Cricetulus griseus: one gene and its partner. The protein of the gene in region 1 binds, or shares a complex with, the protein of each later gene. Links are inferred from orthologs where the notes say so. Each region holds a gene or a part of one and is shown in the gene's direction. Other genes may lie near its edges.

What was found.
Region 2: the proteins of Nfkb1 (region 1) and Txn are in contact, whole or in part, in an NMR structure (PDB 1MDI), measured with the Homo sapiens proteins. The link is inferred for Cricetulus griseus from reciprocal best matches to the Homo sapiens genes NFKB1 and TXN. Residues at the interface, in NP_001158884.1 of Homo sapiens: Arg56, Phe57, Arg58, Tyr59, Val60, Cys61, Glu62, Gly63, Pro64; in NP_003320.2 of Homo sapiens: Thr30, Trp31, Cys32, Pro34, Met37, Ile38, Asp58, Val59, Asp60, Asp61, Gln63, Ala66, Ser67, Val71, Lys72, Pro75, Ser90, Gly91, Ala92.

What each region holds. Positions count from the first base shown.
Region 1 is NW_023276806.1:23,875,197-23,878,707, forward strand, and holds part of Nfkb1 (nuclear factor NF-kappa-B p105 subunit), read left to right. Parts: intron 1-1,827; coding exon 1,828-1,919; intron 1,920-3,251; coding exon 3,252-3,390; intron 3,391-3,511.
Region 2 is NC_048595.1:85,908,576-85,912,562, forward strand, and holds the start of Txn (thioredoxin), read left to right. Parts: upstream 1-1,181; 5' UTR 1,182-1,314; coding exon 1,315-1,338; intron 1,339-3,987. UniProt on the Homo sapiens protein: Participates in various redox reactions through the reversible oxidation of its active center dithiol to a disulfide and catalyzes dithiol-disulfide exchange reactions.

The sequences.
Region 1 (3,511 bases):
TCTGCCATACAATCTATTTCATACTGCCACAGTGACTTGGCCACACAGCGTTCCCCCTACAGTCTTCGTTAAGAAAATGTGCTCAGAACCCACCCTTGGGTGCCAGACCCTGCCCTGGGAGAAACAACTAGGAATGGCAAGCCACACCTTGGAGAGACATGGTGTGGTATTCCCAGGCCCAGCCCTTAATGGCCAAGGCCATTTCCAGAATGTGAAGCTGGCCCCACACTTGAGTGTGCCAGACCTCCTCATTCCCTCCCAGAACTGGAAGACTTCCTAATAAAAGATGCCACCAGAAGGCGAAACATAACTTGTCACCAAACATGGTCCTGGCTCTGAGGTATCTGTGCATGAGATCCCTCTGCCTAGAGGAGGTGCTGAGTCACAGGAGCTCGTAGCCCCCTCTGTGAGCCATGTTGGTGGTTATGCAGAGGTGCCAAAGAACAGAAAACCTTGTGAGAAGTGCTGTTAAAATGGTCAGCATTTGTAGTGACCCATGAGTTTACGCCACACTGTACAACGAAAATAAAAGCATGATAAGCTGAATGTTACTATCACAATACGGTTGCAGTTTCCTGTCACATGCATAAGTAAAATGAAAAGGGTAAGAGGTGGGATAAAGGGAGACAGACCATGAGAATGACAGGTGTTCTACTAAATCTAGGATAGACCTGTCTATCCAAAGTAAAGAATTGGGCCAGATAATGAGATAGTTTATTCAATTCATATATATACATATATACATATATATGTATGTATATATATGAGATCAATATATATATATATAATATATATGTATATATATATATGTATATATATAAGCAATATCAACTTTCACCAGTCAGTAGTATGGTCCTTCATATGCACTGAGAAGTACATGTCATATTTCTACAGAACTAGAGTCCATGACTAGAGAGTAACAAACAAACAAACCAACGTGGTTTCATCATAAGAAGACATGGCCATCATGGTACTTAAACCAGTTGCTTGATAGGGCATGAGGAAGCAATGTGTGGAGGTGGTCCAGTAGAGCATGTAAGAGCTAGGACTGGGCATCCATGATGTTTACATCCTGAGTCCTTCATCTGTTAGCTATTCAACCTTAGATAACCTACTGAAGACACAATCTGGGGCTGACAAGATGGCACAGAATTTAGTAAAGGCACTTGCTGTCAAGCCTGACAACCTTCGTTCAATCCCCAGGATCCACACAGTGGAAGGAGAGAGCCACCTTCCATTAATCCTCTGAGCTCTGGATGTGCTCCTGCTATACATGGGTATTCCCACGCATGTGCACACACCCATAGACCCCGATTCTCGTCTGCAGATGAGGACAGCATTAGTATCCCTACATCGCAGGACTGGTTTGAGGACTAGATGAGTTAACATTTAAGATAAAGCACTTAGGACAGCATCTGCCGTGTGGGAAGCTTCATTTATTTCAAGTTTTACAATGGACATCTCCATACTGGGTTGAGTTACACCTACGGGTTCTGTTACTCTTCCATCCTTCAAGTTTCCCAGAAGTGAACTAGTTTAAGTGTGGAACAGTGGGAAGTTCATATGTTGACAAAGACAAAGCTTAATGGACTGGGTAAATATAATACTCATACCACTATGAGTAAATGGTAGATTCCCTTTCCTGGAGTAAATAATGTGTAAAGAGTCTGATCTGTGAAACTTTAAATGGTGCAAATCTGCTCCGAATTCTTTTCAAAGCATTTACATTTAAGTGAGACAGAGTTATATCCTGCCTGTATTTGCTAGCATGCTCGTCAACATTATTACACCCGTTGCAATCACGTGCCTGAATGTGACCATTTGCAGATGACATCCAGATTCGGTTTTATGAGGAGGAAGAGAATGGTGGGTTTTGGGAAGGATTTGGAGACTTTTCCCCCACGGATGTTCACAGACAGGTAGGTGGGTTGTCACCGGTCTAATTTCAGTACTTGTTCTGCCTTGATGAAATTCAGTGCTCCGTCTCCACAGATTGAAAAGGAAACCACCATAAGTCTCTAACATCAGTACAGCAATGCTATTTTTATGGCTCTTCCAGAGGAGTACCTTACCATAGAACTGCGGGCAAGGTGCTGCTAGAATATTGGCTCAGGGAGCCTGGCATGGTGCCTCATTTGGTGTCTGTTGTTCAGGTCCTGAAGGCAATGGCCCCAGTTCCTCCCATGAAAATGTTTAGGTATTGACCATTCCAGCAAAGCCTGGGAAAAAAGGAAATGTACTGAGGAGTCTGAAGGCTGAGGCGGATGCCACTCTGACGAGCCAGGGTCTCCAACGGCCCCTCATTAATAGTCACTCTTTGAGGGTGACTGAGGAATGATGTTTTTCAAGAAATTATCGACAGCCCAAACATTCACCAGTAAATGGCTAGATAATGGGGTGCTTCTATGTGGTGAAATGTCATGCAGTCATTAGAAAAAGGGCGTCTGTGGATGAACAGAGACCTCAAAGTAGAATGCTGAGACTTGTAAAGATTGATTGAGAACATAGTGTATACAAAACAATTCAGGGTTCACATGCACAGGAAGCCAGAGAAAGTAACCGCAGAGCCCCCCAGGAATCTGCACTGAATAGGTACATGGATCGGAGGTAGGGAGGCAAGAAGAATTCTCAGTGTGTGCCACTGTATTCCTTCTGTGTTTTAGGAAATCTTGATCCTTGTGAATATAAAGATAGAAAAAACAAAACTAAGGATGCCCGGTACCTAACTGTCCCAGAACTACCCAGAATTAACACATGTTGCCTCCAGCACAGCACTGCTTTCTGTGGCATGGCCGGCTACAAGCTGACAGTGGTACTTCTGGTTCCATTTGCTTCCAAACCCAGCCCTTCACACACTGCTCTGAATGATCTTGGAGGCCTTTAAGGCTAATTTGAAAGAGAAATAACTAAGATGTGTTAATTAAGATAATTAACCGGCATACTGTTGTGTTTTACTTTCATGGGGGCAATATAATAAAAATGTACGCTGGGCCACGATGGCGCCCGCCTTTAATCCAGCATTTAGGAGGCAGGCAGGTGGATCTGAGTGAGTTCCAGGATATCCAGGACTATTACAGAGAGAAACCCTGTATGTGCGTAACATACTGACTGGAACTTTGCCAGGGGCTGGGTCTTAGCACACTTTTTTTAAGCTTAGAGTACAAATGTATGCATCGGGAATGCGCCTTCTGCTCACCCCCACTAGACAGCAAATGTACTACACCAATGTTTGGGTTTTTTGTCCCCTGCAGTTTGCCATTGTCTTCAAAACTCCAAAGTATAAGGATGTCAACATTACAAAACCAGCTTCCGTATTTGTTCAGCTTCGGAGGAAATCGGATTTGGAAACTAGTGAACCGAAACCCTTCCTCTACTATCCTGAAATCAAAGGTACCTGGGTTGTTTAGACTCTTGGCGCTTGCTCTGAAAGCTCAGCGGCTCACCTCCTTTACACAGCCTCCTAGACAGTGCTGCCTGGATGTAAAGTGCTTAATTTTTAGAGACAAGAAGG
Region 2 (3,987 bases), on another chromosome or scaffold:
GGTGGTGGTGGTAGGGGCACTGAGACAGGGACACGGTTTCACCATCTCCAGCTCTTCACCTCTGGATGCATATTTATCTAGATCTGCTCAGCTCTGAAAAGGCAGCCTTGGCAAACATCCTCCCAGCTTGCTGGCTCTGTCCAGTCTCCACCTCAGCTTCGGGCTGCACAAAGCCACCCTAACAATGTCTTAGCTTCCTCCTGCACATCACCCCAGTTATCATTGGCACACACTCTTCCTGGCGTCTCCCAAGGCAGAACAATTTCTGCAATGCATGTACACTGTCATTGTAAATACAAGGCAGCCAAATTCAGCAAGGCCGGCATGGCACCACGCAAGCTTAATTAGCGCTCACGATGACTATAATTAGAATCATTTATTGAGTGCTTCCTTATGTGCCCAGCGCTGTCCTCGTCAGTTTTCAAGCCCTTAAATCCTTCGAGACAACGCTGTGAACTAGACAATCCGATGTCCATTATGCCCGCATGCGCATGGGGCACAAAAAAAGGGCACTAAAGGACTCTGTCCCTCTCCAGTAGCAGGTTCACCCGCGAAAGTTAAAGAATAGGAAGGGGAGGGGGGAGAGAAGGGACAGGGAAATCTCCAGAAAGGAGGGGAAGGAGTGCACTGAGACACTTCCTAGTCATCGTTACTCAGCACTTTGAGGCGGAACCGCAGCATGGCCGCCCTGGTCGAAGGATACACTTCTGCCTGGGCAGTCCCCAGGCCCAGTCTGGAAGTATCTGACTTAGGTCTATTTGGGGCCTGGCCAATGTGATCCTAGAAGGACTCCAGATTGTGAGAGGGGACTATGAGCATCCTCCCTACGTAGTGCACAACGAAAATGCCCTTAGAGCAACTGGACGCACACTTACTTCCCTGTGTAAGCGCAGGGCGGTGTCTGGGAGCCCGAAGCTGCTCCAGGCGCCTGCGCTAGCCTCTCCCCCTGTAAACCAAGGCCAGCTTTCCGCCGCGCAGAGGGAGGAGACATGGGCGGGGCCATCACTAGGGAAGTACCGGAGCTGCTCTAGTAGCCGGCTGTGGCTCCGCCCCCTGGAAACCTGATTTCCGCTCCACCTCTTGGAGGCGTGGCTTAGGTGTGGCCTGCCGAGGCGGCTTGGCGGGCGCGGGAGGCCAGGGAGCGCGTCCCCGCTGCACGCGCCCGCCCGCCCCGCCCCGCCCCGCCGTGCTCCGCCCTGTCGCTATAAAGAGAAGGCGGGCGCCTCGATCCGCCGCAAGATCCGTCAGGCATCTCGGATCCGCTTCCATCCGATCCTACAGAAACTCGTGTGGTTCCTCCCCGCGACAGCCAAAATGGTGAAGCTGATCGAGAGCAAGGTACGCGTGCCCGGACGACGCGCGCACCCCGCCGTGTGCTGTGTTGGTCGCCTTCTGTATCCCCGTGGTGAGCGGCCCGGGGCCTGTGCGCGCCCTGGGCTTGTAGAGCACGCCTGGGGGAGGGGACGGGGAGACCCTGGAACGCCGGGTACCGGAGGTGCACCGCTGGCGGCACCTGGGTTCCCCGATCTGGGTTCCTGCAGCCTCCAGCCTTCTCCTTACCGCCAGCTCTAATCTGGCGGAGGTGAAACGATGGAGGGGGTCCTTGGGTGAACCCCCGTCTGAACCAGGATTCGGAGTCTCAGGGAAGAAATGAGAGCCGCCACTCCTCGCGTGTACACTGTCATACACAACGCGGGGTGTCCTGTGCCTCAGGGCTAGGCCGGAGTTTGCCTCCATCAGTGGTCCACTGCCTAGAGAACCAGTGCCCGGTCGGTGCACGGGGGCCGGTACCTATTGGAGACCCTCGGGCAGGTGCTCCAGGTAACTACTAGGAAGGAGAAAGGTCCAGGCCCCGCCTGTGGGACTCCTCCTCCTCCTGCAGCTCAGGGCGTGTTTCCGGCAGCGCTAGCTTTGGAATGACTCAGTCCCCAATGTCTGGGCCCAGGGGCCTCACTACGCTAAGATTTCAGTGATTCACCCGCTGTAAGTGGGCTTTGCTGGAACCAGGGCTCTGTTCCTCCCAGGGAGTAGTCCACTACAAAGTCCAGGTTTTGCCATTTGGGAAAAGAAAAAAATACCTAAGGGAAAAACTGTTGCCATATTTGAAAGTTACTGAGAACCAAAATATCCTCCAGATTGGGAAAGTCAGAGCCTGTTACACTGTAACTACTCGGGGAATATTTGTAAAGTGGAAAGTGAAAGGGGCGGTGGTGGGAATTGATGTTTGGAAGACTCTCACAAGGTAACCTAGTTAACTTGTTAACCTAGCTAACTAGGGGAGCCCAAGGAAGGCAGACCCACGCCTCCAGTTATGAGCTGTTCGGGCCTGGTTGGGTGGGTCTCAGTACATGAGTTTGCTCAGAATCCACCCACTATCAGTCGTTTTCGACCCAGCACCCAGTTAGGTCCTTACCTGTTTAAACTGTCTTACTTATGGGACCTTTGCCATTCCAGTAGAAAAGGTGTGCATTGGGGACAGGAAACCAGTTATTCATAAAAACCTTGGGCCCCAAAGGCCTATTAACAAGGCTCTGATCAGAGTCGCCCCGAATCAGAGATTAATTGAATACACCTAGGGTTATACTGGTGGGCTTAAGTTGATTGGTTTAACCATGTGTTTCTGAGGACTGTATGGACTGTACGGTTAGTTAAGGGTCCCTGATTCCAGACAGGAGTGGGATGATGGGCTAAAAAATCAACAGTTGGTTTGCTTTGTTTATTTTTAAGACTAAAACTATTTATTGAACTACACACAAGGCATGCTGCTCAGTGCTTTACAGACTATGTTAGACCAGGGTGTTGGCTCATGGCTCTCAGCACTCAGGAGGCTGAGGCAGGAGGATCACCACCTTCCTGTCCTGGGCTACAGAGTGAAACCGGTCTCAAAAAGCAAAGAACACTTTGTATTGCTACCTTTGGGCTGGTTTTGTGTTTGGGGCCTTTTGTTTTGCTTTCTTTTCCGTTTACGTATAGGGGTGGGGCATTCACTTGTGGTGGTCAGAGGACAGCTTGGGAGGGTTGGTTCACTTCTGTCTTGGGGATCCTGGGTATTGAACTCAGTTCTCCTTTTTGTGGCAAGCACCTTAATCTGCTGAGTCACATTGCCAGCCCCTGAGCTAGGAATATTTGAGAAGAGGGATCAAAGCAACTGCTTCTAACTACTCCAACTGTTTTCTTCAGATCATCGGTGTCAGTGATGGAACCATTTCCTAATTGTGATGGATTATTAGTTTCTGAAGCTAAAATTTGTGATTTGCTTCTTAGACAATTTTGAATACTCTTCAAGCCAGTTCAGGCAAGTTTACACATCTGGAGAAGAGATCTTATTTGTGAAGTTTACACATCTCTGTAACTCATATTCACTGAAGCCAGAAATTAGGGTTGCAAGCCTCTTTTTTTCAGAGTTTTAAGTAGTTTTACTTGAATTTCATTCATAGCCATTGGGTAGCAGGGGAACCTTGAGAGTGTTTGAAATGAAGTTCATCCTGTTTTTTATGTAGTGTCATCAAATTTTTATTGAGGATCAGTCATGTTCCATTTGTGGGTGTTGTCAGACCAGCCTGCCATGCCGTCTTTGCCCTGTGTCCTGCAGTAAAGAATGGGTGGTGTGGCCTTTTTAGTAATCATGTAAGGGAAGGTTTTGTATGGAATTTGTCTGCAACAACCAGCGGTGGTTTGGAAAGGTGGTTTCCTTTACTCTGCACTATAGTCCCACCTCCTGACCCTAACACTTAGCTGTGTTCACACCCAGATATGGGCTGATAGACCTGTATAACTAGGGCAGTGTTTAGAAGTTGTCATAGCCATTCTGTACTATTCTCAGAAATGATATGTGGTTGATTATTTTCCTTGAAAAATATGAGGTAGAAATTAAAAGCCAGAAAAGTAAGTGCTCAGGACTGAAGAGAAGAGAAAACTCAGAGAATAAGAGCACTCACTGGCAGTCTTTCAGAAAACAGGTGTTCGATTCCCAGCACCCACGTGGTG